Danio rerio: one gene and its partner. Each later gene encodes a partner of the first gene's protein in a complex. Links are inferred from orthologs where the notes say so. Each region holds a gene or a part of one and is shown in the gene's direction. Other genes may lie near its edges. The genes, in order: skic8 and skic3.

The links.
Region 2: the proteins of skic8 (region 1) and skic3 are in contact, whole or in part, in a cryo-EM structure (PDB 7QDS), measured with the Homo sapiens proteins. The link is inferred for Danio rerio from reciprocal best matches to the Homo sapiens genes SKIC8 and SKIC3. Residues at the interface, in NP_001290176.1 of Homo sapiens: Asp16, Asp17, Trp20, Leu40, His63, Gln64, Leu65, Gly66, Leu84, Ala86, Gly105, Pro106, Val107, Trp110, His126, Lys149, Phe150, Glu187, Gly188, Ala190, Arg194, Asp201, Gln203, Tyr213, Asp218, Val219, Gln220, His221, Asn223, Leu224; in NP_055454.1 of Homo sapiens: Lys649, Leu688, Gly690, Lys691, Tyr695, Asn960, Pro963, Val967, Asn970, Lys971, Glu974, Gln994, Leu995, Lys997, Glu998, Ser1226, Asn1227, Lys1230, Lys1252, Leu1256, Lys1257, Gln1260, Lys1261, Ala1263, Leu1264, Leu1265, Pro1267, Trp1273, Lys1295, Arg1296.

What each region holds. Positions count from the first base shown.
Region 1 is NC_133200.1:7,005,332-7,022,375, reverse strand, and holds the start of skic8 (superkiller complex protein 8), read left to right. Parts: upstream 1-3,858; 5' UTR 3,859-4,148; coding exon 4,149-4,160; intron 4,161-4,635; coding exon 4,636-4,663; intron 4,664-4,769; coding exon 4,770-4,875; intron 4,876-8,032; coding exon 8,033-8,205; intron 8,206-8,753; coding exon 8,754-8,902; intron 8,903-9,095; exon of another isoform or gene 9,096-10,378; intron 10,379-10,607; exon of another isoform or gene 10,608-11,422; intron 11,423-12,676; exon of another isoform or gene 12,677-13,342; intron 13,343-13,456; coding exon 13,457-13,550; intron 13,551-16,416; coding exon 16,417-16,510; intron 16,511-16,600; coding exon 16,601-16,693; intron 16,694-16,778; coding exon 16,779-16,857; intron 16,858-17,044. UniProt on the Homo sapiens protein: Component of the PAF1 complex (PAF1C) which has multiple functions during transcription by RNA polymerase II and is implicated in regulation of development and maintenance of embryonic stem cell pluripotency.
Region 2 is NC_133180.1:54,926,033-54,943,076, reverse strand, and holds part of skic3 (superkiller complex protein 3), read left to right. Parts: intron 1-250; coding exon 251-391; intron 392-630; coding exon 631-732; intron 733-818; coding exon 819-943; intron 944-3,231; coding exon 3,232-3,318; intron 3,319-3,693; coding exon 3,694-3,797; intron 3,798-3,892; coding exon 3,893-4,013; intron 4,014-5,639; coding exon 5,640-5,819; intron 5,820-5,983; coding exon 5,984-6,108; intron 6,109-8,802; coding exon 8,803-9,053; intron 9,054-10,355; exon of another isoform or gene 10,356-10,438; intron 10,439-10,782; coding exon 10,783-10,885; intron 10,886-11,037; coding exon 11,038-11,220; intron 11,221-13,837; coding exon 13,838-13,982; intron 13,983-14,072; coding exon 14,073-14,151; intron 14,152-14,252; coding exon 14,253-14,314; intron 14,315-15,382; coding exon 15,383-15,439; intron 15,440-15,530; coding exon 15,531-15,599; intron 15,600-15,689; coding exon 15,690-15,764; intron 15,765-16,796; coding exon 16,797-16,938; intron 16,939-17,044. UniProt on the Homo sapiens protein: Component of the SKI complex, a multiprotein complex that assists the RNA-degrading exosome during the mRNA decay and quality-control pathways.

The sequences.
Region 1 (17,044 bases):
GCAGCCTGATTTTTACCACATTTTCAGGTTTTGCCACATTCTCACCCTGTTATATACTTGTTCATTAAATTTTTTGGCTTCTGTTTTTGTCTTACCTGCTTTCTGGAATCGTTCTTCACTGGATTCAAACCCAGTTATTGTGGTCAACACCTCAAGTCTGCCGACAAACATTGTAAGCTACTTGACAAACTGGTAACAGCGGGAAAGCCATCCATATGGAGGTAATCAGTCAGCTGGTAAGCGTGAAAGGAACGGCATCAAAAACTCTTAAAAAACAAAATGCAGCCATACATAATTTGGGATCTCTAGAAACGTATATAAGGATACATTTTTAGAATGAGCCTATGTTGCTTAAAATAGTTATGATTTGACATGATTGCGTTGCATATTTCAGAAGTCTAAAGCTAATCAGGCAGTACAGTAATGGCACTAGATGATGGAATAGGACTATATTCGCTCTCCTTTTCCAACCATTCAGATCAGTAGTATTTCTAAGCACTGCAGAAAGTCATTTTTTATATTTCCATAAGCAGTCAAAGTCATAAAATAGAGCATATTTCATTCATCTAAAGCTTCAAGCATGGCATTCTTCCTCTGTTTCTGACTCACACTGTCAGATCTAGGTCAGTCGATGCTGAATTCCCTCTGCGAGACACATTGCACCTCAAAGGGCATCAGCTGAGAAACTCTCACCGCTCTAGACATAAAAGGGCTGAAATCCCACTTAGCATATGGACTTCCTTCTGTCTGACTCCCAGACCCAGAGCTCTTTGATTGGACTTTTCTGTAGTCATATGCTGCAGTCTGCAGGAGAAGTCTCGTCTGGAAGAGATTTTCGGATGAGAGTTGTTTAAACGCCTTCTGGTTTCTCTCTCTTTTTCGCGCCTCATTAACAGCAGAAGGAAATGCTTTTGAGGTGAGAAATAAAATAAAACAGTGGGCGCAAATGTCTTTTTAATGCCAGAGGTCAGAGGAGAATGGCCAGACTGATAGAAAGGCAACAGTAACTCAAATAAGCACTCGTTACAACTGAAGTCTGCAGAAGAGCATCTCTGAACACACAACACATCCAACCTTGAGGCGGATGGGCTACAGCAGCAGAAGACCACTCTGGGTGCCTCTCTTCAGGCTACTGGTGGTGGTGTAATGGTGTGGGGGATATTTTCTTGGCACACTTTGGGCTCATTAGTACCAATTGATAATCGTGTCAGCACCACAGCCTCCCTGAGTATTGTTGCTGACCATGTCCATCCCTTTATGACCACAGTGTACTCATCATCTGATGGCTACTTCCAGCAGGATAACACACCATGTCATAAAGCATGAATCATCCTAGACGGGGTTTTTGAACATGACAATGAGTTCACTGCACTCAAATGGCTCCTCAGTCACCAGTTCTCGATCCAAAAGAGCTCCTTTGGGATGTGGTGTAGTAGTCGTAACCATTAGTGTCCTTGACAGGAAATTTGTTATGGGCATCATCATATTGCTGCAGACATTCCATAAAAACAATAATATAACAATATAATATAAAATACAGCAGTTACAAAATGTATAATGCTAATTGATATAGACTCTTGTTAAATAAATTCAATTCAGCTATATTTGTGTAGCGCTTTTACAATGTAGATTGTGTCAAAGCAGCTTCACATAAATGGTCATAATAACTGGATCAGGGTGGTTCAGTTTTTAGTGTTTAAGTTCAGTTCAGTTTAGCTCAGTTCAGTGTGGTTTGAAATCATTACTGAGAGTCCAAACACTGAAGAGCAAATTCGTCAATGTGTAATAAACCCACTGAAACAGGAACAAAGGATTTTTTTAATAACGGTTTAACCTACACTTTGGGACTGTATCTTCTACCAGAGGGAAGAAGTTCATAATGTGGAAACAAAAAATGAGTTGGATCATTCACAATCCTTTCCAGCTGATTAAGGACATATTTCTCATATAAAACTTGAGGATTAAAATATTCATCATGCCCAACAATTTTCCATTCTGTCTTTAGGAGATGCATCAACTTAGATTTACACTGAACCAGGTTGGCAAACCACACTGTGATACCAAATCTCTAACAATGCTTTCAAGAACGGTTTTAGAAAACAACATCATGAGCTTCTTGTTAACTCCAAAAAGACGTAACCTACGTAAAAAATACAATCTCTGGTGTAAACGAGAACAAACCCACTCAATGTGTGTTTTCCATGTGAAAAAACTGTCGATGTAAATGCTTAAGCACTTATAGGTTTCTGACTGAGTGACAGGATGGTCGTGTACAACCACTTGACGATGGTCACCTATACACTTTGGGTCAAATATAATCTGTTCTGTTTTCTTAGTATTTATTTTTAGCTTATTTCTATCACACCACTCAACAAACCGGCTAATTTCTGACTGGTAGATAACACTGATATCATCATTCTTATAGGTTAAAAATGGCTGTGTCATCAGAATATTTAAAAATAAAATTCTGTTAATGCTTACTTGAACATTCATTTGTAAAAAGTGTAAAAAGAATAGGTGAACTGACACAGCCTTGTGGAACCCTAGTACTACTTTAATGGGAGATTCACATCATGGATGTAAAGTCGACAAATCTGCAGCAACTGCGTGATGCTATCATGTCAATATGGACCAAAGTATCTAAAGAATATTTTCAGTACCTTGTTGAATCTATGCCACGAAGGATTAAGTCAGTTCTGAAGGCAAACGGGGGTCCATCCCAGTACTAGTAAGGTGTACCTAATATAGTGGGCGGTGAGTGTATATATATATATATATATATATATATATATATATATATATATATATATATATATATATATATATATATATTACAATAACTGGTACCTGCATTTGTATCAATAATGATGTATATATTTAGTACTGTAATTTAGAATTGAGAAATATATATTTAGTATTTATTTTATAAACAACTAATATGTTTATTACTTCAATTTCAGTTTCTACTTGCACTTATACATGTTGTTTAATAATGCTTTGATTATCTGGTCTTTTCAGTACAATAATGTATTTTTATCATTTATATTTTATGTTTTTATTATATTAGCATTGATTCAATAAATGTTTGATTTTTATTATTGTAAAACAATTGTAGCCTTTTTAGTTAGTTAAAAATATATTTTTAATGATTCATTTTGTGTTTTAATTTTAATGGTATTTTATTCTCATCATTGATATATATATATATATATATATATATATATATATATATATATATATATATATATATATATATATATATATATATATATATATAATTTATTAAATTTCTTTTTTTTTATTTGTATAATATTAATATTATTGCAGGATATTGTTATTTTTAACAACCACACTACTTGCTATACACTTTTTTTTTACACACATATACACTTATTTAACAACACACTTTATATGCCGCACATATAACGTATATAATCTACCTGTACACGTGTCAATTTGTATATTTGCATTCACTTACTTTTTTTTACTATTTAAAAAATATATTTATCATCTGTTTTTGTCCTGTATCTGTGATTCTGTTGCACTGTAGAAGCTCTGTCACGAAAACAAATTCCTCGTATGTGTGAACATACCTGGCAATAAAGCTCTTTCTAATTAGCACACACGTTAGTTAAGATATATTAGTTACATTCATAATATTATATAATAATAATTAGAATAATAGGCGGTTCATTCCACTGTGAAGACCCTTGATAAACAAGGGACTAAGCCGAAGGAAAATGAATGAATGAATAATAATATTCCTCTAGACCAGTGTTTTGAAAGCCAGCACGAGAGGGCGGAGTCAGTCGTCTGTTCCCATGCTGCTTTGCGCGCAGGTGTCATGGCGGCTCTCTAGTCGGTATCATTGCGGCCGTTTATTATTGTTAACAGACCGCATTATTTCCTAATTTAATATCCGTAGCTACCATTAAACGCTTACGGTGTTTAGCTCGACCGCGCTACAGCTTTTTCGGGACGCACAGAAGACGTAAAGAATCCGTTCATTTATTGAAAAGCTAAAATACGCTAGCACCATTGCATGAATTGAGTGTATAAAGTGAGATAATTAATAATAAAAATCACACACGGCTTATTAACTCATAAGAACTCCTTTATAGCACAACCAGGGTTTGAAGCGAAGAACCATGAGCACACAAGTGAGTTAATCTCTAATATTTTCACATAGCTAGAAGTTTTCTGACTTATTTAACGTTACACTGCAACAAATGCTCTTACTACTTAAAGTTTGACTTGTTTCTAGTCCAAATCTCTAAAAAATATTTAAACCACGAAGCTTTTTCTAAATAAGCTAAACATAGTGTCTTGCTTTAAGAAATAATATGTCAAAATTAAGCGAGTTTATTCTTAAAGCAAGCTAAATAATCTTCCCTTGAGGTAAGAAAAATAATCTTGCTTTTCCTTTTGATTTACGATTATTTTGCTTACCCCATTGGCAGATTATTTTGCTTGTTTTAAGGAAAATCTCACTTAATTTTGACACATTATTTCTTAAAACAACAAACTATGTTTAATAAAAATCATCTAAGTAAGAAAAGCATTTTTAAAGTGTATTATACAGTGATCAAAATCATGCTTTTATGTTATATAAATGTTTATTTCTCTGTTTTTCAGTACAGTATACTCTTCAAGCAGGAGCACGGTGAGTCCTCCTCACACACTTATTCCTAAAAAATGTCTGGAATGTAGTGAGCTGTCTAGATAGGGAGCATATTTGAGCTACTAAATGTGCTTTTATGCATTTGCAGCTCATGAAGACGCCATCTGGACAGCAGCATGGGGTCGCAGTGAGAAGGACGGCTCTGAAACCATTGTGACCGGCTCTCTGGATGACCTGGTCAAAGTGTGGAAATGGTAAATCAATGAGCAAAGTGCAGTAAAAGGGTAAACTTTTGATTTAGAGTGTGTTTGCAGTAAGGCTGTGTGTAGCCCTGTCACAATAATCCATATATCGACTTGTCGAGCAATACTTTGAGATGACCTCAATCATTTTTGCCGTTGCAGTATATATTTACAAATTCACAAATAACGTTAAAGCCATTTTACAATGACATTTACATTCTACCTCACCAGTGTCAAAGTTTAAAATGAGACATTTACCTAATAGGACATTAAATGGTATATACAATAGGAAATTACCTTTTTAACGTCAACTTATAGAATCTAAATATGATAAGTATTTTAAAGTGATAATGGCTGTTTGAGTTATTATGCTGATATAGGATCATTATATAATCAGTGGTATAAAATGATATCAATATGACAGTAGTATCGCGTATTGCAACTATTTCCTAAGTTCCTTATCGTGACAGGCCTAGCTGTGTGATATAAATACAATTCCGAGGGGTTTAAATACAATTTAGTTTACAATTTTGACTTTAAATCGCACTAATTTATAACTCACAGTGGTTGAAAATTCTGACATCTTGTTTCAGAATCAATGTAAACTCACAATTGCAAGTTTAAAAAAGCAGTATGTTGGACTAGGGTTGTAACAATATACCGGTATGACGGTTTACCACGATTTGAACGTGCACGATTATCATACCATGAACAATTGCATATCAACGGTTTTAACCCTTAAAGACCGAGACAGCCGCCCGCGGCTAAAAATAAGTATTGCTCTTAAATGTTTAATAACCTTTGATCCGCTGATCTGATTCATACAATTGAAAGATTGGCATAAAGAAGAGAATCTCAGCTTTCTAGTGCTGTATCACATAACATTCGCGGACTTTCAGAGGCTCCGGAATCAGTGCGGTTACGTCATCAAAATTTGACAACGCTGATTTGACAAAGAAACGCTCGTCACTGTGTCTCCGGACAAACCAGACATGATACATTGATGCATTGTCCCTCCTCCATGCCCAGATTGGTTCAAACTCGCTATATCACAACCAATAAGCATAGGTTTCGCTTTTGTTTGTGGACCAACACTGAGCTTTTTGAACAACACGGAATGAGAGATAGGCATACATTTCTGCGCGGCTAAATAAAACGAAATGAAGGTGCAGTTGTTTGTCTGCATTGCATACAACCACATCCAAATCCATATCCACAGACAACCATATCCATGGTGGCACATAAAACCTAAGGATGTTCCATATTGAATCTAGTTTCGTTATGTAACTATTTATAGTATAGTAAATATTTATATCTATTTTTACTGAGGATTTGCACCATGTTTATTTGGACTTTGACATTATTTATTATTTTTTTATTTGTTCATTGTACAAGTGGACACATTCTCTCACCTCAGCGGTCAATATTAAGTCCTGAAAATCTCAACATGCTTACATTTCTTCATCACAACCTAGACTGAAAAAAACAACGCTTTAAATACATGTTTACAGCCATAAACTTGGTATTGCACTTTTGGTCTCCCATTTATCCTGCTTATAAGGAAGGACAGTTTAAGTTTATTTTTGTCTAATCTTAAAAGACCCTGCTTGTTTATTCCTTCTAATTTAATTTATTAAAATGGGAGATTTTTCAGTTTATTTTTATAAAAGACTTCTATAGTTCTATTAAAATGGTTCTTTCAAAAGTTTGTTGAAATAAAACCTTTGTTCAGTCAGAAAATGTGTTCTTATTCTTTTCAGGGTCTTTGCTATGAGAATTACTATTTAATACCGTATACTGCGAAACCGTCAAACCGTGGTATTGTTTTAGACGATTATCATACCGTAAAAAATTCATACCGTTACAACCCTATGTTGGACATTCTATGCAAAAACGTTAACAGAGGAGCATATAATATTTGTTTTATATCACATTTATATATGTGCCATTTATTCAATCTGTTTTTCTAGTGCCATGAAGAGAAGTTTGCTTTTTGCCGATTTGCATTTGTGAATGTGAAATTTACATAGTGATAACGTTTATATTAAAATTGGCATCTTTTAAAGAGCAACCCTTAACATAATAACCCAAAATCATTTATAAGATCTTTATTATTATTTTTATATTATGAGCAACAAACAAATTTTATATACACTACCTAGGCCTAGTTGTTTAATTCTCCTGGTTCTCTTAGTCCAGGCCCACCTGGGCTAGCTAATAAAGCTCTTACCAGGCTTTCTAGAAACATCCTTGAAGGTGTGTTGAGGCAAGTTGGAGCTAAAATCTGCAGGACACCGGCCCTCCAGGACCGAGTTTGGACACCCCTGTCTTAGTCAGAATCAAAAAACAGTTAAATAAGTTTTATTTGGCCATTGAATATACTTGGATGGACGTCCAGCATTCTGCAGCCTCCTGCACCCAGACTGCAGCTCTGCACAAGTAGTTTGGCCAGAGGAGAAATTGTTGTGCTCAACTGATTCTGATTTATCACTAGATTTTTTTTTTCCTTCTTCACTTTCGTCAATTGGTGAAGTTTTGTTTCTCGCCACTGGCTTGCTTGGTTCGGGACATGTGGAGCTAGCTGCACATCAATGGATTTGCTCTTCAGTGTTTGGACTTTCATCAGTGAAAATTAAACCACACTGAGCTAAACTGAACTTCAACTTAAACTGAACTGACACTGTTTCAATTTACTAGAACTTCTATGTTCAGCTGCTTAGACACAATCTACATTATAAAAGTGGTATAGAAAGAAAGAAAGATGAATCGAATTAAATTGAACAATAATCACATTCCAGGATTTATTTTCTGATATGCATAAACTTACGAAAGCAAACAAACAAACAAACTAAAAGAACACCCCTATCCCAGCCTGTAAGTGTACAATATAGTGGCAATCAAAGCAACTTTTTAGTTACAATACATAGCTTTAAAGAATATAATTCCTCATGAAATCACAGAGGAAAGGGCCCCAGATCTTGCGAAATTGTCCACGTGGGCTTTTTAAAGATATCTTGTTCGTTCCAAGTACAAAATCTGCATCTTTTCATTGCTCTCACCAGGGATCAGATGGCAGCATTCACTCCAGAGTTGTTTTCAATTGAACCAAAGCTTTCTCAAGGTTAAACCTACCCTAAAAAGTGTCTATTTTTCTGCTCTTGTCTGGCAGGAGTGATGAGAAGCTGGAGCTGCAGTGGACTCTCGAGGGTCATCAGCTGGGTGTTGTGTCTGTGAACATCAGTCAGAATGGAGCCATCGCCGCCTCCAGCTCTCTGGATGCTCACATTCGCCTCTGGGACCTGGAGACGGGCAAACAGATTAAATCCATGGACGCGGGACCTGGTAAGCGTTCATTTCTTTTTTTTTAAGAGCAGGTGTATGGTATATTAAAGTGTCCTAATATTGTTTTAGAGTCATCTAAGGTCAGAAAACACTGTAATTTCCTCAGATTATGTAATTCAAATTAAAATAATTCTGCAATGATTTCAGCACAGTTTGTTTGAATGAATCGTGGGCTTATAATCTGTAAACCCCTCCCTTCCGTAAGTCAACTCTGCTCTGATTGGTCAGCTGGACAAGTCTGTTTTGATCGGTCTTTCTGAGCCTATTCCATGTCAAAAATTAAACACCCATTTCAGAGTGTTCGTATGTTTTGGAATAATGCAAAATAGTTACTGTTATTGTCTTGTCGTAGATTGGTAGAAGGCTAAAGACTTGAAAATGTAACGGCTCGTTAAGGCAATTTAGAGTTAAGTCTTTCTTAATTCATCTTGATTGGCACTTTTGCAGACTGTTTACATTGAAACATTGGGAAAAATCTTTTTCGAAATCCCATTTGATGTTTAATGCAGCTTTGAGTGTGGTGAACTTATTTTCTATTCCGTCTGCAGTTGACGCCTGGACGGTGGCTTTCTCTCCTGACTCCAAATACATCGCCACCGGCAGCCATCTTGGGAAGGTCAACATCTTCGGTGTGGAAAGTGGGAAAAAGGAGCATTCACTGGACACCAGAGGGAAATTCATTCTGAGCATCGCTTATGTAAGATCACAAAGCATTATTAAAAGGCATTCATTTTAAATGTTACATCATTTGTTTTTATTTTACGTACACACACACAATGCATATGTATATTAGTATTAATGGTGTAATGCAGGGGTGTCCAAACTCGGTCCTGGAGGGCCGGTGTCCTGCAGATTTTAGCTCCAACTTGCCTCAACACACCTGCAAGGATGTTTCTAGAAAGCCTAGTAAGAGCTTGATTAGCTAGGCCAGGTGTGACTGATTGGGGTTAGAACTAAACTTTGCAGGACACCGAGTTTGTACATGCCTGGTGTAATGGATCACAAATACCACAGTTCGGATCTCATTATGAGTTTTTAGTCTCAGGACCATTTTTCATATCAACCAAAAAGGGGAGGAGACAACTGTAATTTTCTTTCCATTTATTACAAAAACAGCACTGCAGGAAACTTTTGGTTTTAACAAACAGATATTACAACTTGTAATTTTATTAAAAATTAAATGAAGAAATAATCAGCTGAATAAAAATTTGTTGTAAAATGTTTAGTACAGTGAAGAATTAACTGTCACGACTGAGTAATTCCATGCAAATGTCAACCTTGCCATGAAAAAAAAACTAGGTTTTCAACAAAATAGCAAAACAGTTTTCAAGATTTCGGGGAAGCAATTATTTTTCAGTACATTAGAAATAATCAAAATATCTCTGTTAGTGTTTTCTTTCTTTTTTTTTTTTAACTTTGTTTATTTTGAATATTCAGTTGAGTACAATCACAGTATTTTAAGGTACAGTGGTATCTCAGTATGTGAGCTTAGATGGTATAACAATTGCGTACATTATTGTCAGGTGTATTTTCTACACAGTAGTACTCAAATTTTGTAAATTATAAAATGAAAAACAGCATAAAAAGAGAAGAAAAGTAAAAAAAATAAGAAAAAGATCCAATAAAATATAATAATCAAAAATAAATGGAATTTAAAAAACTATTTACATCCAGGGTAAGAACACATGTCATAATATAATTCCTTCCAGAATAATCTCAAGTGACTATCTTCATTATACACATGGGGATGTTACACATAATAATATGAATAAGTGTAACCATATACATGTACATACATTAGCATATATTTATCTATCAGAACAACATCTTGTATTCATTTATAGCAACAAAGTCGGGTCTTCTAACTAAAATATATTTAACCCTTTTTCTCCATTTTCCTAGGAATATATCCTTCTTTAAATTGACAACAAAAGTGATTTTTTCCATTGTGTCGATCTCAATAGTTGCGTCTATCCAATAACTAAGGGTTGGTCGCTCTTGCTGTAGCCATTTGCGTGTGATCTGTTAGTTTTTTCAAACTATTCTAGTTGAATTAGCAAAGTCACACAAGTGGCAATTTTACATCGGTCACATCCATAACGAAGCAAATTCACATAACGGCACTTTTTCCTCATGAATGCAACAGTATAAAATAATATCAATATTTTTTGTTCTATAGAGAACCAACTCTTATCGTTTTGATTAGCATTATTTCTTTTGGTTTGTGCAATTTAATATACAAAATTTCTACAAAGTAATTTGTGAACTGTAAACTCGCAGACTCTTTTGGTCACATCCATAACGCATGTCTATTTTCCTCATTTAAAGTGCGAATCATGTTTACAGATTGATATTTTTCTGGTCCTGTAACCCTGTGGTTAGTTGTTCTGTAAAATATAAACAAATTTTCAATATAATGTTAACGTATTCTTTCTATGTGAATTTATGTTTTGAGTTTTTACTCCAATTGTCACATCCATAACGCTGGAATTGCTACTACTGTTACTGATAACGCTAAATGTGTTAATCTAACATTATAATTTGTTAAACCCATATTAATTTTTAGTTTAATTTTTTTAATAAATGATTCAGTCTTTCACTCATAAAACTTCATGTTTCATTGCTACATGTATCGTTTTTGAAGCATTATACAATGGCATATTTTTGATGGCTGGTTGTCGCCACCTATTGGTTAAATAATGTAATTGCTGCCTACAATTTTCATTTTTAAGCATTGTTAAATGCATATGACAGTAGTTTTAATCTTTACCATAATCATCAGTGGTTTTATCTAAACTATGAACTGTTCACCAAGTAATTCTGTGTCATTTGACTGTTTGTAACTAACTCAAAAGACTAAAGACTCCATATCTTTCTTGATTTTTGCGTATTTCAAACACAGATTTGAATGCAGCGATTCGAGGATTAATAAACATGTGCAAATCACCATCATTTATAATTGATGTTGAGTGGGTGTTGAGATCCCAATCTTTTATTGATTAATCGTGCAGCTTACACTGAATTCCTTAATGCAGGCTAAACAATGGGCTGTTTCTCAATTCCAATTTTTATACGAATTTCAGCAAACAAATTCCCTTAATGTGTATATTCCTTTATTAATATGTCCATGGTAATGTTTACATTCACCGTTTCATTTTGGGAACCTCCTGAAGTAAATAAGTCATATCTCTGAACTTTAATAACAAATCTAAATAAACTGCTGCGCATTCCACCTCCAGTCGCAATGACTTCTGGGACTTTTAGAGCAAGAACGGTGCTCAAGTCTGCATTAGTGCGTCCTTGATATCAAGAACACATCCGGGAAGTTTCAGGCATCCTCTGTTCTTGCGGTCTTGAGTATTATGCCTGTTTCACACCGCAAGCGTCAGCGGCGCGTGAGCAGAGCGTGAGCAGCGCGTGTGTTTTCGGCGTCCATGTTAACAGATTAGAGCTTTCATACCGCAAGCAGCAGCAGCGCGTCAGAGCGAGGCGTGAGCGTCGCCGAAGCAGCAGTGCAGCGATAGTTTCGGCGCTGGGTCTATTTTTGACGCGCATTAAAGTTACAGTGCATTGATAATGACCAAAACACATTGAATGACAGTAAAAAGTAGCAATTTTACTCAATAAATGCGTTAATAATGTCAAATGGTTTATATAGTCATCCAAATTAACTTAAAACGATTAAAAACGGCAAGAAACATTTATTTAGGCCCGAACTACAAAACCAAATGTAAAACAATTTTAGTATCAGTTTTGCTTAAGTTGCACACTAGTGTTGTAGGAGAGGGGAAATAGAATATTTACGGGATTTGTAGTCCATAGCAAAGTGTATTGTGGGTAGTGTAGTTCGACACGCATGCTGGATGATGTGAGCTCGCTGTGTTCTGTGCAGCTAGCAGAGGAAGAAAGTTTTAATCGGCTTTGTTTTATGTTCACTCGAGTTATTCCTACCGGGAGCTGTTTGCTCTGTGAATCTGACAACACGAAAATAAGTAAAAGAATGGCATGCATTGGTTACTTTTGTCCGTCTCATCATCTGCACGAGCATGAATTAACGAGCTGTTATTCTGCCGCTGGACATCACTGAAGCGGAGAAAGTAACACTAGTTTGATCATGTATAAATATCATTATAACTATATTGTATAAATATTATTATAACTAGGTCTACAACACAGGCGATTGTCTTCTGACTGTAGACACTTCTCATATAAGTTAGCTTGAGAAGCATACAGTACTATTTGATCTATAAATTTTGTAAAATAAACATTTGCAGGTTAAAGAAACAGCATAGGAGGGGCCTTGTTGCAGATGAAAAGTTTAAAAAGTGTATTTGTAAATAGAGAGACATGGGTAACTAGATAGAATACACAGAGATAGGTTGATCTCTGCAGCAGCTGCCGAAGAGCTCCGCGCTGCAGACGCAGCTGGTGTGAAAGGCAAACGCCTGCATGCTGCTACTGCTCGACATACGCGCTGCGCACGCTCTGCTCACGCGCCGCTGACGCTTGCGGTGTGAAACAGGCGTTAGAACTTTGGCAGCTGATGATGACATTACACGAGAACACAAGACTAAGTAATGACAGAAAACACCTTTAATAACCTAAGAAACCTGCCACATCCTGAATAACCCACCACATATTCCTCATTATATTTTACAGGAAAGCCTAAATGCTTTCATACATGTGATTTCAATGGTGCAAGAGGTGATCGCTCTCTGATCGTTACAAATTTAGGATTGATCTACAAGTAAAGAAAAAAGTATTCACCTAATCTGCGGGTCACATGTGTTCTGAACTGTGGGTTGTGATCTGATGAGTTTGTCCAAAAGGAGCTAATTCAAAATCATTTATCACCATCATATTCCATTATAATTTATGGTATAAGTTATTACATATGTAGGTTATTAAACATAACAAGGTCCAACATCTTTTATGGTCTTGAGAATGTAATGACACTATAAATTATAAGGATTCCTTATAAAAGAATGTTGAACAAATGGCTTTTGTTATGCCTAGCTCTAAAATGTTTTGTTACCAAGAAATAAAGATAAAATATTGAGCATGAATCATGGAAAACATCTGGGAAATGTATTTTTCATAGGGCAGAGCGTTACAGTGACACTTATGTACAGGCTTTAAAAAAAGAAAGAAAAGAAATAGATTTCACACATTACGCACTCTCACACACATTTGAACGAACATTTGTTGGGTTTTCCAGACTGTAATATCTTTCTTTTCTCTGTGTCTCCAGAGTCCAGATGGAAAGTACTTAGCCAGCGGTGCTATTGACGGAATCATTAATATTTTTGATATTGCGACTGGGAAACTCCTGCACACGCTGGAAGGTGAAAATCGTCTTCCACATGATTCAGGCTGTCTTCGGTTTCCTCTATTAAAGCAGAGCGTCTGCTGGATGCATTTAGGATGATTATGGGTTACGTGAACGTGCTGGAAAAGCCTGTTTGCGTCTCTGGCTGTCCCTCAGGGGTTTTAAACTTCAGCTTCTGTCACAAAACAACTCCAGTTCTTTCCTCTTTGTCTTCTTCGCTCTTCCCTTTCATTCAATCCAAGAGGTCCAGATGGAAATAATGTGTTAGATGCAGTTCAGTTCTTACATTACCTGTTAAAAGTTAGTCTATCTATCTATCTATCTATCTATCTATCTATCTATCTATCTATCTATCTATCTATCTATCTATCTATCTATCTATCTATCTATCTTCTATCCGTCCGTCCGTCTGTCTATCTATATGTCTATCTGTCTATCTATATGTCTATCTATCTGTCTATCTGTCTGTCATTCTATCTATCTATCTATCTATCTATCTATCTATCTATCTATCTATCTATCTATCTATCTATCTATCTATCTATCTATCTATCTATCTATCTATCTATCTATCTATCTATCTATCTATCTATTCATCTATCCGTCTATCCATCTGTCCGTCTATCTATCTATCTATCTATCTATCTATCTATCTATCTGTCTGTCTGTCTGTCTGTCTGTCTATCTATCTATCTATCTATCTATCTATCTACCACAGCGATCTGTCTTAGGTCCAGAACATATATATACATATATATATATATATATATATATATATATATATATATATATATATATATATATATATATATATATATATATATATATATATATATATATATATATAATAATAACGTTATATCAAATATTATACTATATATATATATATATATATATATATATATATATATATATATATATATATATATATATATATATATAGTATAATATTTGATATAACGTTATTTAGTGTATTATTGTTTTAATTGATTCATAATTTATTTCTATGATTTTTTTTTTAGATTTGAGATTTTTAGTGTTGTATGATCCTTCAAAAATCATTAGAAAATGCTGACTCTCACTTTTTTTTAGGATTTCCTTCATGAAAAGTAAGTTAAAAGTAACTTATTTGTAATTCAATATTTTTTGTTTTTACATTTGAAATGTTTTTTTTTACTTTCTTGGTGAACAATTTAAATGTGTTTTAAAATTGTGCTGCATTATTGCACCCCAGCAGTTTTCAACACTGATTACAATAATAAACAACAATAAATGTTTCTTAAGGAGAAGTTTGTATTCTAATGCTTTCTGAAGGACAATTTCAACTGTGTTTAATAAAAGAAATTATAATTTATAATTTAGTTTTTTTGCAATTTTAATCAAACAAATGCAGCTTTGGGGATTAGAATTAGTTTTTATTTTTATTAAAATCCTGTTTTTTTTTTTTTTTTTGTTTTTTTTAGCAGTTGTGCTTTTTAACTTCAGCTTCTGTCACAAAACAACTCCAGTTCTTTCCTCTTTGTCTTCTTCGCTCTTCCCTTTCATTCAATCCAAGAGGTCCAGATGGAAATAATGTGTTAGATGCAGTTCAGTTCTTACATTACCTGTTAAAAGTTAGTCTATCTATCTATCTATCTATCTATCTATCTATCTATCTATCTATCTATCTATCTATCTATCTATCTATCTATCTATCTATCTATCTATCTTCTATCCGTCCGTCCGTCTGTCTATCTATATGTCTATCTGTCTATCTATATGTCTATCTATCTGTCTATCTGTCTGTCATTCTATCTATCTATCTATCTATCTATCTATCTATCTATCTATCTATCTATCTATCTATCTATCTATCTATCTATCTATCTATCTATCTATTCATCTATCCGTCTATCCATCTGTCCGTCTATCTATCTATCTATCTATCAATCTATCTATCTATCTATCTGTCTGTCTGTCTGTCTGTCTGTCTATCTATCTATCTATCTATCTATCTATCTACCACAGCGATCTGTCTTAGGTCCAGAACATATATATACATATATATATATATATATATATATATATATATATATATATATATATATATATATATATATATATATATATATATATATATAATAACGTTATATCAAATATTATACTATATATATATATATATATATATATATATATATATATATATATATATATATATATATATATATATATATATATATATATATATATATATATATATAGTATAATATTTGATATAACGTTATTTAGTGTGTTATTGTTTTAATTGATTCATAATTTATTTCTATGATTTTTTTTTTAGATTTGAGATTTTTAGTGTTGTATGATCCTTCAAAAATCATTAGAAAATGCTGACTCTCACTTTTTTTTAGGATTTCCTTCATGAAAAGTAAGTTAAAAGTAACTTATTTGTAATTCAATATTTTTTGTTTTTACATTTGAAATGTTTTTTTTTACTTTCTTGGTGAACAATTTAAATGTGTTTTAAAATTGTGCTGCATTATTGCACCCCAGCAGTTTTCAACACTGATTACAATAATAAACAACAATAAATGTTTCTTAAGGAGAAGTTTGTATTCTAATGCTTTCTGAAGGACAATTTCAACTGTGTTTAATAAAAGAAATTATAATTTATAATTTAGTTTTTTTGCAATTTTAATCAAACAAATGCAGCTTTGGGGATTAGAATTAGTTTTTATTTTTATTAAAATCCTGTTTTTTTTTTTTTTTTTTTTTTTTTAGCAGTTGTGCTTTTTAACTTAAAATATCCACTTTTCATTCATATATATTTTAAAATGTAATTAACTCCTGTGATGCAAAGCTGCGTTTTCAGCATCATCGCTCATTAATATGTTCATATCCAGGTCACGCTATGCCTATCAGATCTCTGACGTTCTCTCCAGACTCTCAGCTGCTGGTCACAGCATCAGACGACGGATACATCAAAATTTATGATGTGTAAGTATTAACACACGCAGATTTCTGTGTATATTCAGCATCCAAACATATTCAAATCTGATATTCTGCCTGTTTTTGTGTGTTTTACAGGCAGCACGCAAACCTGGCCGGCACACTCAGCGGTCATGGATCCTGGGTGCTGAGCGTGGCCTTTTCACCCGATGACACGCACTTTGTGTCTAGGCAAGAGTTGAGAGTTATGTAAATTAAGAATGAAAGTGTAGTTTGCATGTTATGAAGTGTAATATTTGGCTTTTTATTTTTTCAGTTCGTCAGATAAGAGCATAAAGGTGTGGGACACGAGCAGCAGATCATGTGTCAACACATTCTTTGACCATCAGGACCAGGTCAGATTAACATCTATCTGTCCGTCCATCCATCCATCTATCGTTCCATCCATCTATTGTTCTATCCATCTATTGTTTTATCTCTATCGTTCTATCTATTGTTCCTTCTATCTATCTATCTATCTATCTATCTATCTATCTATCTATCTATCTATCTATCTATCTATCTATCTATCTATCTATCTAT
Region 2 (17,044 bases), on another chromosome or scaffold:
CCGTGTCACACTCGACAGCAAACAGTCCTGTAGTTTGTATGATATAAAATAAAAACTCAAACTGGTTTGGGAAGAGAAAAGGATGAGTAAGTAATGACAATTTTTTATTTTTTTTTGGTGAAATAACCCTTTAAGCAAGATTAGGATTTTATTTAGAGGTCCATAGCATCTAAAAGCGTAAAACATAAAAAAATATGCCCCATATTTAAAAATGATAAGTAATAAATGTTGTTTTTGATTTTCTTGTCAGGTGACTGCAGTGAAGAAGCTGTTTCCTGTTTCAAGCGTCTCTTAGAACTGGATCCAAACAACTCGTATGCTCACTTTGGTCTCGGTATTAAAGCTTGTCAGGATAAAAAATATGAGGATGCCATCAAAAATATTGGTCTGGGTAAGTTCATAAACACTCAGATGTTCATGAATGAATGGAGCACTAAGGTTATAAGAAATTCATTATATCAAATTCTCCAAATGCATTTTGATCATTAAAAGTTGTTTCAATAAATCTTTTACTTAAATTCATGTTTAACTGTACAACATTAATGAAGTTCCTTGCAATTCCTAGGTATACAGTGAAAATTACAAAAAATATGTGTAACTTATTTGTTGTGTGTTTTTTTTTTTCTGCAGGACTGAAGCGTATGCGCTTCTCCATCATTGGTTGGTATAATCTTGCCCTGGCTCAGCTAAAAATGCATAAATACTCTGACAGTGCCATATCTTCCAGTCAAGGTACTGGTTATATGATTCACAGCTAACTGCTCAAGTCAGTTGCACTTAAAAACAGTTTTCAAATATGTTCCTTTTCATTTGTTCAGGGCTAAAATCGAGTGTGGGGAACGCTGATGATTGGACTCAAAAGCTCCTGAGGTTGAAACTAGAAGCTCTGGTGAAGACAGGACGAGAACAGGATGCTGATGAAGCTCTGCAGATACTTGCACTGGTACAGTTTAATGGTTTAAGATGTTGTGTTGCAGTGTTAAAATAGGGATATATGTACACCACTATTCTAAATCATTTTTGAAAAACTTTCTTACACCGTGTCTTAACAACATATGATGTGAGAAGACTTCTTTAACTGCATGTAGTTAGAACATGATGTTATGCTGACCTTGGCTGTGTTTACTTAAACTCAAACATTGTGAATACTATAAAAGTGAAAAATAATATTGTTTATAATAGCTATAATTTAAAAAATGTCCAATATGTTTATAATCGCAGAGCTAAATTGTCGGTAGCCGTTACTCAAATCTTCACAATGTCTTATGATCCATCAGAGATCTTTCTAATATACTAATTATTCATTAACTGTTACAGTTCAGAATTAAGGAGAGATAAGTTTCACACATGGAGTTTCAGATCCTCTCTGAAAAACAAGGACAAGCACATTTTGATGCACAGTGTACATCTACTGTAGGTGTCATTATCTGATAACTTTATTCAGTCAGATCCAGTCCAAATCTAATTGGTTAAGTGCTGATTAATAACCTATAATACATTGTATAGAAGAATTACCATGTTTGTAAACATTCAGGATGTGCGTGCAAGGGAATGGCAAAAAAAAAAAAAAACGGGAGCACTAGCAGTTAAAGCGAGGAAATGACATTCGATGCTCTACAGAGTTTGTTGTTGTCTTAGAAATAAGATATATTGATTACATATTATATGTAGTATTTACATAATGCTTTCAGCATATTATAACCTTGTCACCCAGTGATAAGCACAATGATTCGGCAAAATTAACGTTAAAGTGAGCAGCGTTTGTCTGACAGGTCCATTTGAGATAGCACCCTCCCAATTGATATTGGATACCACAAAATGACCAAGCATCCAGCCCGAAATATACAATCTCATTGAAGCTCCAAGTGATTTTACAAGAGAGAAGTTAAAGGTCTACTAGTCTTTGGATGCCAACAATGTTGTTCTGTGTGGTCATGTGCCAGAAATAATCTTCCATGATTACCAGATTCAAAACTATGTAGTGCTAAAAACCGAGGTTCTGCCAGGCCAAAGAAAAGGGAAAAAGACGGAGCTAACGTTATTCAAGGCCTGGGTAATTAATTATCAACAAGCAAAACAAATGCATTCTGACAGCGAACTACACCTGTACGGCAGAGTATGTGAACTTACACATAGAGGTAAAGTTGGTTTTATATTTGCACATTTGGACTTTCTCCTTTATAATATAATTTCATAAAAGTATTTTTTGCAAACTCTAAATAGCGAAATCATATTAGCAGCCAATGACTATCCAAGTACATTGTTCACAGTCAAATAAACAGTGTTAATGTTGTTTTCAAGTTGCACTTGCAGGTTATTTCAGACCGAATATTCAAAGTGCCATGATAAACAATATAGGGAGTGTTACAAGTTGTCACTGAATGAATGTGTGAATATAAAACCAACTTTACCTTAATAACGTTTCATTCTTAGCATTCAGTGTCCGCAGTTTAATTAAACATATGTAACTGTTTTTGCTGAAATCATTGTTGCAATCTAAAACGAGTAACGTGTATGATTCAGCATAGCGTGAACTTACCTGATAAAACATGAGAACTGCAGAGTCCAGCATTTCTAATTAGGTTTGTCACTTTATTCAGCTCCCCTTTAGCCAAAGACGTCTGCAGTTGGCATTAAAGCAGTGTGGTGTATGGTAAAAGTTAAGTTAAATTTGGCATCCTACCACACAAAACGACATGTTTGCCATTGCAGCCGGTCTTTTTTTGCTACCGGGGACCCGTGTGACAAAGGTTGGTATTTGTCTATAGGTCCGAATGACAGATTTTTTCTTAATCAATTCTGGTGAACATTTTAAGACCTTATAAAAAAATAATTAAAATTTTACAGTAAGTAAAGATCATGTTCCGTGAAGATATTTCCTACAATAACAATATTAAAAACTCAATTTTCGGTTATTAATTTACATTGCTAAGCATTGTATTAATATTTTCTCAATATATGATTTTCTTTAACCCAGAGATTCCAGATTTTCAAGTAGTGTCAAATCCTTAAAAAAAAACATATAATAATGGAAAGCTTATTTATTTCATATGATGTATAAATATTAGTTTCAAACAAATTATACTTATAACTAGTTTTTGTTACTATCAGTGCAACAAGCAGGTGTTCTGGTTAATACTTTGATGTAAACCTTTTTCACATAAACATATATTTCTAATAGCATTGTTTTAAAAGACACAATAAAATTATATAGTTTCATTTTCTTTTTAGATTTCAGATGCCAAAAATGATCCAGTGGTTTTGGCATTAAAAGGAAGAGCTTACTTGGAAAAAGGCCAGACGGAGGAAGCATTTCAGGTAAACAGAACTGCATTCCTAATGTTTTTTATCTATTTATTAAAACAATAGATGTTAAAGGGATAGCTATAAATATGAAAATTTACTCAGCACTTCATCCTCAAATACGTTTTTTCTATTTTAAAGAATGTTGTTAACCTAAAAGTTGATGATGATCGCCAATACCTTCTATAAAATGCTAAGGAAGTTAGTTTGTTTACCTACTGTATGTTCTTCATAATATTTTCTTTTGAATTTTTTTGAACAAGTAAATAGTATTTATTTTTTTCATTTTAGTGAACTATTCCTTTAAGAAATTGGATATTCCAAAAGCGAAGCAGTTCATAATAATGCCATTAATGCAATAATGCCACTGGAATGAAATGATTCTTGCAGGTTTCCACTGAGCTTTTGAGCTCTCACCCAGGATCTGTGGATGGTCTCACTTTGAAAGCACTTCTACATGTTGCTAAAGAACAGCACAAACAAGCTGAGGAGAGGTGTGAAACTCCACATATGCACACGCACACATGCATATATCATAAACAACTTGGGTGTAACCACCAGGCACTTATTTTCTCACTCTGTTACACAGCTTTCTAGAGGCTTTATCCAGAAGTCCAGATAGTGGGGAACTGTTCTTCCTGCTCGGGTCCCTTTATTGGAACATGGGAGAGGAAATACGAAGAGACCGCAGCAAAACTCATTTACTCAAAGTGAGACACTTTAAAATCCTTTTATAGGACCCTGGTAAATATAATTTATTTCCCCCACATTTTGTTTTGTTTTTCCTTTTAGTTTTTATGTATTGTTTTTTAATTTTCTGTTTGAAATATATTTTTTAATTTTGATGGATATAATTTTAGTAATCAAAAACTATTATTTAATTGTTAGCAATATTTGAAATAAAAGTAAAATTTTTTTTAAGCAAAAAAGTAGCAAAAATAGTAGCAAAAAAACAAAAAAAAAATTCTCCCAAACTTTTGGGACTATTAAAGTTCTGCTACCTTAAAAAAAAAAAAAAAACTTAAAATTTAATGGGTTGTTTTAAATTAAAATTTAGGCAATGTCCTCATAAGGGAATGACAGAAGCTAAAAATAACACAATCTTCACATTTTATTAAATATTGTGCATTCAGTTAATGGAATGAACAATTAAGTATAATTCAATTTGATAAATTTTACGTAATATGGCACATTTCTATTTTAGTTCCACTGGAATATTTAGTTCCGCTTCATTAAATTATTTTGGTCAATGTTTATGTAGACTTCAGAAGATTCTCTTCCCTTTGAATTAAAAAAAAATATTTCAAATGTTTGATTACTAGACGCAACCTATATACTATATAACTCCAGGTTAACTATGTTTATATCTAATAACTTTTACTGTTAAAGTTATTAGTAATTGGTACCACACGTCCCACACGGAATCTGCAGATTTCTGCAGATTTTCAGCCAATTATTGAGTCTATTCAGTTGTGTGTAAATGTACATTTCTTCAATTTTTAAATTAAATTCAGTAATATTACTGACTAATATAAAAATTTTCATATGATTTACTTACAATGCAGTTTGCAAAGTAATAATAAAAGACTAAAAGTCTTTTAGTAGATATATTATATGAGTCACTTAATTTGTTTGCTAAATAAATGTAAACATTAAATAATAGTCAAAAATGTAGTATTTTTTTATTTCATATATTAGGTTTTTAGTTAAGATACACTCAAAATCATTCTGCATAAATCTGTAGATTTTTTACAATATTCTGCACAGAATAGCAAAAAATGTCTGCAGATTCTGTCTGGCCCTAATAATTAGTTATTAGTTAGTTAAAGTTATTAACTACTAAAGTAACTAATAAAGTTATGGTAACTAATAACCTTAACTTTTCTGAATTTGATTGTAATGCAATAATGTGCACCTTGTGTAAAGCTGCTTTGTAACAATAATTATTGTAAAAAGTGCTAAACAAATAAACTTGAATGAAATACTTTGCAATTTATTTAATATAACTGTAATGATATAAATACTCAAGCTTTTCATTTACCATGAAAGGATGACATTTTTTACAAGAATGTCACCCGGAACCCCAGGCAAACTCAAATGACATGTTTAAAGGGAATAACAAACATTGAAGAATTTATTCAGAATAGTAAGGCTCTTAACAAAAACACATCACTGATGATGGAATTTTTTGGCCAAAATAGGAGACTGCAAGCTATTTTTAACCATCCTACCTGCCTCAGTGGAAAACAAAAACGAATAAACTATTCTGAACTCCCTAGCTAGCCACAAACCAGAAGATGATCATAAATATATTTCTTGTTTTCTTTTGTTTTAAGGCAGCTAAACTGGATCCTTATCTTGGTTCAGTTTTTCGCCTTCTGGGTCATTACTACAGAGAGGTGGCTAAAGACCAGGGCAGAGCCAGAGGCTGCTATAAAAGAGCATTTGAGCTGGATCCATCTGATGCTGAAGCCGGAGCAGCTGCTGTAGATCTCAGTATGGAGCAGGGGGACATGGTGAGTGAAGACAGAAGTGCATTTGTCTTGTAAAAATGCATTGCAGTCCGTTTGAATGTATCATTTGCATCTTTTTTTTCTCATCAAGATACAAGTTTAACATTGCAGAAAATAGGTTCATTTAAATCAAGGTTAATTTGCTTCATGATGTTCCCTATCTTTAGGACTCGGCGCTGACTGTTCTGCAGTCTGTGACAGAGAGAGCTACTCCTGGCTCTGCTAAATGGGCCTGGATGAGACGAGGTCTCTACCACCTTAAAATTGGCCAGCATCAACAGGCCATTGCAGAGTAAGTGAACTGATGTCAGCTGTAAGGCCTAAGTGGTAATAAGATTTGTTTCAGTGGCCCAGGGTGGTGTGCTCAGCAGATACTTTAAAAGCTCTTTTTAAAGCAACTGTAACGTTAGCAGTTATAATGATGCAAGATGTTAACAGGTTTTTACAAAAAAAATGTATTAGTAGTAAATCAAATCTTCCATCCTTTTGGCAATTAGAAGTCGAACAGTGAACTCCAAGTCAATTCCTAAAATTGAATCGCAGCCAATCAGGATATAGATGTAAAATGTTTCCCATATATTTTACATATTTAATATATATTAAATATGATAAAATATGGTTTTAAGTGTTTTGAATTACAGGGACATAAGGTTAAACCACCTTAAAGGTTCATGAAACCCTCAAGTACTTTTGAAAAATTTTTTAACAGATTTGTGTGTGTCGAGCATCAGTTAAGACAATGTTAGCACCTGTGAGCTTTAATTGTGGGGAAACCTGCATAATTTTGAGGTTTTGTCAGCTAATAAACATCTTCCGGGTTTAAAATTATTTTTAGTGAGGGATCAAAATCGGTGAAGTAGCGCAAAACTGCAAATGCAAAGATGATGCGTCGTTTCTCATTATTATTCATAGTGGAGTTTTCTTATCCTCTGTGAAGAGCCGGCTTCTTAATTATTCTATGTTGATGACTAGGTGAAACCATGTCCACGGACCCACAGCATGCAGTATTTAGCCGTTCATGAAGGGTCGTATGTGTTTGTTTTCATGATCAATGGGTTTTTTGCATGTTTTTTTCCTAATCCTTTCAGGGCCGATACAGAAAACTGTTTGTGTGCAGCAAGCATTTTTGTTGGGAGAGCAGTACAATGATTGGAGAATGGTGGACTTTGTCCTTTATCAGTGGAGTTTGTTTACATTTAGACACATCGCCGTGCTGCTGTGTTCGCCTAAATTTTCCAGCGGGGCTAATGGTTGAAATAGACAGGGCAGGAAACCTGCTGCATTGAGTCTGCATTCAGACCCGGGGATTGAGGGAGAAGTTCTCATTTATAGTGTTTATATGAACATGATTATTAGTGAACAAAAAGTAGCTCAGTTATATAGAAATTTGGTGAACAGATGCAAAATAACTATATTTCCAATCCCATAGTAGTATGAAAGGTTAGTACAGACCAGAATCCACATAAATAGCTTTACATAAAATTTTGCATAAAATAATCAAGACAACATACAATATGGTGTGATAAGGATACAACAAAGATAACAGAAACAAAACAAAAACAGTCTGGAAATCTATACGAAACTCAACAGTGTAACTTCAGTGTTAGAGATGTATGATCTCTAACACTGACTCTAGTGTATTATTTTTTTTTATTTTATTATTACTGATTTTTGTACTACTAGCATAGCAAGAAAAGTGTTGTCAATGTCAAATTTTATAATATAAATTTTATATATAAATGTATAATTTTTAATAATTATATTACTATTTATTCATTTATCTCCATTTCGGCTAAGTTTTTTTTTTAATCAGGGTTGCTACAGCAGAATGAACCGCCAAGTTATTCAGCATATGTTTTACCCAGTAGATACCTTTCCAGACGCAACCCAACGCTGGGAAACACCAGTAAACACTCAGATACACTCATACACTATGGCCAATTTAGCTTACTTAAGCTTATTTTAGCTGGTTTTAATTTAGCTTAAAACCAGAGCACCCTAAGGAAACCCACACGAACACGAGTAGAACATGCAAACTCCATATAGAAATGACCAAACTGACCCAGCTGGGACTCGATCCAGTGACCTTTTTGCTGTGAGGTGATTGTGCTACCCACTTCGCTACCGTGACGCCCAATTATATTAATATATTTTTTTTAATAAACAGCTTATAAAGATTTCAATATAATAAAGCAGCTTTCACAATGACAGACAGATATAGATAGATAGATTTGTATGCGCATTTTGGAATATCACATAACTAATGCTTAATAGAAGTCCACACTCCTGTCTCAAAAGATTACTTTATCATTTTAAAATTTTGGTGGTTAAATTATTCAATACTTAACCAGTGGTGTAAAGTAACAAATTACTAGGGCTGCCAATTGATTAAAAAAAATTAACAAATTAATCACGCTTTTTGTTGTAATTAATCATGTTTAATTGATTAATTATACAACTGCAGCAAACCACTTGAAAGCATTAAAAGTGTCAAAGAAAATGTGCAAAATCTTTACATGCAATGATCCAAAGACTGTTCTGACTGCATCATGTAACTGATAAGAAGATGAAGGATGTTTACTATATGATAACTGAAATTGCCAAATGGCCTTAAAAAATAACTAAATGCACTACAGAATGTTACATTCACACACACACACACACACACACACACACACACACACACACACACACACACACACACACACACACACACACACACACACAAATCGCATGTAAAGGCAACAACAGTTCACTGTGTAATACTCACTATTCTTGAATAGTTTTGAAAAGGGCTACTTTTTAGATACAGATACTTTTACTCGCACTACATTTTTGAGCAAGTAATGTTACTCAAGTATGACTTTTCAGTACTCTTTCCACCACTGTACTTAACACATTTAAATACAATTATTAATATTGTTTTGTTTTGTTTTATATTTTTTTAAGTATTTGAAATGTACTCATGATTCTGCTGTGGTGTCAGTCTGCAGGCGGCGTTGAGGGCTGATCCTCAGGACTGGGTCTGTTGGGAATGTTTAGGCGAGGCTTACCTAAATCGCAGGAGCTTCACCGCTGCCCTGAAAGCTTTCGATAAAGCCCACGTACTGCAGCCCACCTCCATCTACAGCCTCTATCAGACCGCTGCCATTAAACAAATCCTCGGCCGCTTTAAAGAGGCCGCCGCGGAATACAAGCAAATCTTAGAGAAGGAGGACTATGTGCCAGCACTGAAAGGTTTGTTGGATTTCTGCAGAAACGTTGCAAACACTTTACAATAATATTCCATTAATGTTAGCTAATGCATTTACTAACATGAAGTAAGAATGAACAATAATTAATCATAGTTTAACCTGTACCAATACAATATTAAAATACAGTCAGCGTCAATGCTTCCCATTCACTTTAAATGGATGACGTCAGGTGTTGCTAAACTTCATTGTGAATGTGTCTGCTCGCTGCAGAAGTTCTTAAGCGCCGACATACATCTCCGATATCTCGGATACAAGTGGCCAAAATGAGTTTCCTTCACAAGGTGGCAGGGTGCACCCTTATAGATACCCAGGAGGAACTGTAGAGGAGTAGAGCTGCTGCTCTTCCACATCGAGAGAAGTCTGAGGTGACTCGGGCATCTGTTTTGCATGCCTCCTAAACGCCTACCTAGGGAGGTGTTTCAGGCATGTCCCACTGGAAAGAGTCATGGGGATTGCCGTATTGCTGCAGACATACAATAAAAACAGTACAAAATACAGTAGTTCAAACAATAATAATTATGATAAAGTCTTGTTAAACAAACTCAATGAAACGGGTACAAAGAATTTCTTGTATTGATCAAACTACACTTAGGGACTCTATGTCTCTTACCAGAGGGAATCCAGATGGAGCAGTAAAATCTACTTGAAAGTGACAGAATGTTTAATTCCTCCTGAGGACTTGACACCCACAATTAATATTTATTAATTAATTATATAATCGAAACTTGGCAAAGAGAATGGGACAACTGCATAAATAATAAATTACATGAAATTAACCTGAAAATTAATAAAAGACACTTTGCAAATGATAATTTTGAGACCAGGGATGATCAAACTATCTCAACTAGATTGGACATTTTAACTAAGACCCACCTGAATGTGATTACTACCAGGCTGCTACTACTATCAAACTAATTTTGTTGGAATGTGAAAGTTTGAATAGAATTAGACAAAATATTTATAAGGAGAGTACTTTGATGGACATTTTTAAAAAGGTACCACCAGGAATAATCTTAAATTATTTATCAAAAATTGAACAGAACATTCATGTTTAACTTTGAATATTTTATTTATTTATATTATATATATTTGTCTAAGTAACTTTTTATTGTAATACGAATTAGTTTTTATAATGTCATATGTTTATGTATATTCATTTTGCCATGAAATAGCCATAAGTTGCTGATGTGGCAATAAATAAATAATAAATACATAAATACCAGAGGGAATAATTTTATTAATATATTATCTGTTTATTGGCACTTATAAAGTTTCACAAATTTTCTACCAGGAGTGGTGTTTGAACCCACGAGGACATCTGTCCATTGGATCTCAAGTCCAACACCTTAACCACTCAGCCATCTTGGTTAGCCCTTATAGAGTTTGATATTATTTTACATCCCTAATACTACCCAAAACCTAAACCCAACCACTACCTTATTAACCAGCTAGTAAGTAGCTTATTAGTAGTTTATTGACCTAAAAGTCTTAGTTTGTTAATAGCTGGAGTTTTACATTAAAATAAAGTGTGATCTGAACAACTTTAATTTCATTAACTAACTTAAATAAATACTGTAATAAATGTATTGTTCATTGTTTGTCCATGTTGATAAACACAGTAACTACTGGAATATTATTGTACAGTGTTTTCCATACAGTATATAAACTTGTAGTGCTTCAGAAAGACTTTTTACTGTGTTTTGCTTTCTCAGGTCTTGGTGAATGCTTGTTAGCTTTGGCTAAAAGTGCACTGGATGACTATCTTGATGGAAGAGCTGTAGATCTGATACAAAACGCCATCCATTATCTGTTCAGGTAAAGTGTTTTGTGAATATGGAGGTCTGCTGGAAAAAAATGAATACATCTCATTCTGTAAAAAGCCTTCAAGCAATGTAAGGTGTAATTAATGGCTGTCATCCATTGAGTATTGATGTGATCTCTTTGTTTGTTTTCTTCTGTGCGCTCAGAGCTGTAAAGCAAAGGCCAGACCTGTCGTGTCTGTGGAAGTTATTAGGTGATTCCTGCACCGCCTCCAGAACTGTGTCTCCAAACCGGGCTAAAGTGCTGGTACCTGGAGCTCTGTGTGGAATGGATCCATCCGATCAGAAGCACACACTTGACCAGAGACAGCTCCTCACTCTCGGAGAAAGGTGAAAGACATACATTTACAATTGCCCATCAGATTAATGTTCAAATAACAAACTTTTTGAAATCCAGTCCTTAGTAGGAACATAATCAATTTTTTCTTTTACCTCAAGACATGATGGGGTTATTTATACACAATGTCATATTGGACAAACTAAATGTACTCCTGGACATTTAATTAAAGGGGAATTTCCCAGGATTTTATTAGTATAGTTTTATATTATCTAATATCATACTAAATGTAATTCAAATTTTTACAATGCCATATTTTTAATGTTAACAACATTAAAGAGACAACGTTTTTTTTTCTCTGGAGAGACTTTAAATAATATACATTTTAAAGGGGAATCATTTAAATACTGTAGAATTTCTATAAAATGTTTGTCTTAAAAATCTGTTTTAGACATGGCATCAGGAAATCTTATTTTACGATAAAATAGCCATTAAAGCTAAAATAGCCATAATCTCCCTTCTGCACCAAATAAGGCAATTGTAAACAGAAATGTTTACTATTAGGGTAATATGGATATTTTTTCTCTATTTCTTGAATGTAATATGTAATATTGGTAAATAAGCATATACAATCTACATTTGAACAAATCATTGAAGATGATAAGAAGACTTTTTTTTTTCTAAATTTTCTGCTAAATTTGTGATTATCCACTTGTAATCAGGACAAAATTGTGTCAATACCAGGTGTATAGGGGCCAAGTGTTAATATTTGAACATCTGAAGTGGATCAAAAAAGTTTTTCAAAATGTTCAAGTCATTGTAATGACATATATTTTTGCAAAAGATTTCATATCTCAAACACAAGTACTTTTCTCCTGAACTTTTTATTCTTCAGAGCATTCACAAAAACACTAAGCATCACAGTTGTTTTCAGCATTGATGATAATAATAACAGGTTTCATACGGTCATGGAAAACCTGGAAAAATCATGTAATGTTGACATGGCATTTTCCAGGCCTGGAAAAGATTTGGAAAAACAAAAAAACCTACAAGGTTTTGAAAAAGTCCTGGAAATTGCATTTACATTTAGTCATTTAGCAGATGTTTTTATCCAGAGCAACTGGGGTGGTATTAAACAATAGGATTATATGTTAATAAATTGAGCGATTGCTCCATATTTTAAATGTCTTATTTTAAATGATCTTCTATTGGTCTAACCCAATCAAGTGATTCGCAGGTAAGAATTCACCAAGCTTGAACTTTTAAATGCAGTGAATGTGAAACTTGGCGCACGTGCTTGCGTTTCTAGTCTGCCGCATTCGCATGCCTATGAATGGAAGTCTATGGAGCGAAAAGTGCAGTGTAATCGCTGCTTTACAATAAAAGTAGTTTTACCTACTAATACTAGTTAAACAAGCTATTTACATTATCTAAAATTAGTTTAACAAATATCTGTATACTGGATTGGAGGTTAGATATTTTTACTTCTTTTCTTGGCCAAAAACATGGTCTCGCATCATTAGTGCTGTGTAACCATCATCTATTTTATATAAATAAAAAAAATTAATTAAACCGCAAGAGACTGTTGCATGTTTTATGATATGCTGTAATAAATGTAAACATTCTTTGTTTTTCTTATAATTTACCTTGTGTATGTAGACATTACATTTCCCAGAGATGGGTTGCAGCTGGAAGGGCATCCGCTGCGTAAAAAAAGATATGCTGGATAAGTTTGCGGTTCATTCCGCTTTGGCGACCCCAGATTAATAAAGGGACTAAGCTGAAGAGAAATTGAATTAATGAATGTAGACATTACATGAAACATTAGATCATGAATATTGACTCGAAAGTCCTGGAAAAGTCATGGTTTTTTTGTAATGAAAATGTGTATGAACAGAATGTTGAGTATGAAGCAATTATTGAGCATCAGTTTGGCTTATAAAGTGGATTTCTGAAGGATCATGTAATACCAAAGAGTAATCAAAAAACAGAAATGTGCACACATCTGGGATTCTCAAAGGCAGGATTCTCAAAAACAAATACAGTGGCAAAAGGTCAAAAGAAAATCGGCACACTGCTACTTTAGCTCTCAAAAAATGCTTGATGCAACAATATTTCAATGACATGCAGGTCGAAATGTTGTTGCATTAAACATTTTTTGAGAGCTAAAGTAGCAGTGTGCCGATTTTCTTTTGACCTTTTGCCACTATAGAGCGATCACACAGTCTCAGACTCTGCTTTGACATCACAGAAGTAAAATACATTAAATATATAAAATAAAAATCAAATTATTTCTTCCAATAATCAAGGACAAACTTTGTGAATTTGCTTGTATTTATTTAAGCAGATACAGAAACATTCATTAATTCATTTTCTTTTTGGCGTAGTCCTTTTATTAATTCGGGGTTCCCACAGTGAAATAAACCGCCAACTTATCCAGCATATGTTTTATGCAGCAGATGCCCTTCCAGCTGCAACCCATCTCTGGGAAAAGATACAAAAACATATTGAACTAATTATTAAAATGAAGACTGGAAAAATGGAAAGAAATATAAATTAGATACTGTATATAAATAAAAATACAAATGAATAGAAATAATGCCTACTGCAAAAATAAACGAATAAATGCTAATAATTTCCTCATTCTGTAATGAACCTATATTTTATTAGGTGTTTTGGTCGTGCATTAAAGCTGATGCCAGAAGCTCCCAGTCTGTGGTGTGACCTGGGTTTGAACTATTACCATCAATCCAGACTGCTCAGCTCTCATTATCCTGAGGAGGATCCCCAGGCTCTGCTGGAGAAAGCCCTTCAGGTACTTAACCCGAATTTTTTGAATTCATAGTGATCTCATGAGTATGAGTCTTAACAGGCTGTCACTGTGATTTTGTCACTGTTCTGACAGTGTGTGAAAAAGGCAATCATGCTGGACAGTGCAAATCACACATACTGGAATGCCCTCGGGGTGGTAGCCATGACAAAGGGTAAACACAATCAGATGTGCATAATCGAATTAATCTGCATTACATAACTACAATGTGATTGGTCATTTGTGTGTTCATTATATTCTGTTTTACAATCTTAGGAATTGAAAATTTTGCACTTGCACAACACAGCTTCATCAAATCAGTCAAAGCGGAGCCAAACGTAAGTGATGCAAGAAAGGGGAACAGTTTGCTTACTTTTTAAACATTTGTGTTGATGCAAGTAATATAGAGTTGACGTCAAAATGATGAGCCCTCCTGTGAATGTTATTTCATTTTAAAAAATAACTCCCTAGTGTCTTAACTGATATGTTATTATTTTTAACACATTTTTAGACACAATAGTTTTAAAAACTATTTTTTTTTGTCTTTGCCATGATGAAAGTACATAATATTTTAATAGTTATTTTGCCAGGTACTATTATTCAGCTTAAATTGCTAGTTAAAGACTGAACTAGGTTTTTAGGTTAACTACACTCAAAGCATCTGTTTGTTAACTATTTCCTTATTTTGTGATTGACAAGTGTTTCCCATTTATATACGGTTGTGAATTGCATTATGAGATGTTGATCTCTGCTCTGTTGACTTTTGAATTCAATTTAATTGAACTCCAATCCAAACTTGTTGAAAAAGTTTAACATAGTGACTTTTATTTTAGAAGTTTATATAATGTATAATAAATAAAATCTTGAGAAATAAGTCTGTAAAATAGAAGAAGGTGTACTGGCGGTGGCTTTTGTAGTATAATATATAACACCAGCCTGACAATATATCAATTTAAACTATTAAAATGTTAATAAAAGTCACTTTTTCAAACTTTTCATGGTTAAACGTTGATGGCAGAAAGATCAAGGTCCCAGAATATAATTCAAAAGCCATAAATAAACAGGGGAAAAAATAAAAACATGAACCTCAAAATATGGAAAACTGCTAATATACAGATATGGTTTACAGTGTAGGCAAGTTAGAATAAGTTATTGGAAAAGTGTTTTTAATGGGGCTAATAATATAGTTCTTAAATTTTTACAAATACAATAAAACTGCTTTTATTCCAGCTTAATTTAGCTAAAAGAAATAAGACTTTTCTCGGAAGAAGAAAATACCGTGAGATTTTTACTGCATCTCTTAAACATCACTTAATAAATAATTTAAAACAACAACATAATAAAATAAAACAACAACAACAAATTGACATGAGGGCTGATAACTGTATCTCCTGGTTATTTTTCAGAATGTGGTAGCCTGGACCAACCTTGGTGCTTTGTATCTGAAGAAGGGAAATATAGAGGTAAGGTTGGTTAAGGGATTAGCTTGACAATTACACTCACACTAATAATCTCTAATTGTCGTTTTTTTCTTTTTTTTTTTTTTTTTTTAAGCTTTCTCATGAAGCCTTTAAGATTGCTCAGTCTCTAGAGCCCCTTTATGTGAATTGCTGGATCGGACAGGTAGTTGTTTAGACTTGTGACAAGTTCAAAAATTAATATAAAATCCAGTGGTCTACTCGCAACATATCTAACATCTTTCTCGTTACACAGGCCCTCATTGCTGAGACAGTTGGCAGTTATGACACAATGGATCTTTTCAGACACACCACAGAACTGAGCACTCATGTATGTGTACTAATTTCTAAATATTTCGAATCATTCCGATATTTGGGCTTTGCTAAAAGCAGTCTTATGTTGAACTGGTATGTTTTTGGGAATAACCATGAATACAATAAATGGGAAAAAAAAAAAAAAAAAAAAAAAAAAAAAAAATATATATATATATATATATATATATATATATATATATATATATATATTTTGTTATTGTTTGTTAGAATTTTAAGTAAAGGTCATTTTCTGTAAAAACATTTAGTGTATTTCATACAGTAAATATTTTATAAACATTACATGTTTAATTAGTAATATGCATTGCTAGCAGATTTATTATATAGGCAATTTACTCAGTATTTAGATTTTACTCAGATTGCAGGTTTCAAATATTTTTATCTCTGCCAGATATTTTCCTAACTGTGCAAAACATACATCAGTGGAAAGCTTATTTCTTTAGCTTTCATATGAATCTCTGAGGTCCAGGGGCACGTATTAGCATTCAGCATGTAATGTAGATCAAAGATTCTTCAAATTCATTCTGAAACCAAAATAACACCCAGTGTTGTAGTGAACTCTGTATAAACATATATACAGACAAAACATGAAAATTTTCGTGTTCAAATAGTCTGCAATGAAATACGTCAAAGTAAATTCGGAATTCACCACTTTTTTTATTTGCATTTTCCAAACTGTCCTAACTTTTTCTGATTTGGGGTTGTATATAGTGTATATTCAGGGTGCATTCTGTAGCCCTAAATATCCACCATTCAGTGTCACAATATCCTTCAGAAGTCATTCTATATTGCTGATTTTGTCTATGTTAAATACAGTGAGTTTTTTTTCTTTTAAGTACTATAGAAAGCAACAACATTATTTGGATATAGCATTTTTAAAAACATTTTGTCTCGACTGTCCTTTTTGATTGTTTTATTGCAGCCTTGATAGATAAAATGAGATATTGCTTTAAAAAAAGACCACAAAGGTATGAATTGTAGTATATCATTTCTTCTTCATGTTCAAATGATTGCTTTATGTTCTGTTTAGACTGAAGGAGTGAAGGGTTATGCGTACTGTGTTTGCTCCACACTGCTGGACAGGAGCAATAGAGACTCAGAGCTGTATCTCTACAACATTGTCCAGATGAACGCTGTCTCTGCTGCTCAAGTTGCTCTGAGCAAGTACACTGGTGAGAACACAGACACATTACTCTGGATTAAAAAAAGTGTTAGGGTTTTTAAAGTCCATGTGAAAGGAAATTTTACGATATTTGTTTTGCTAGCTCTCTTTAATAA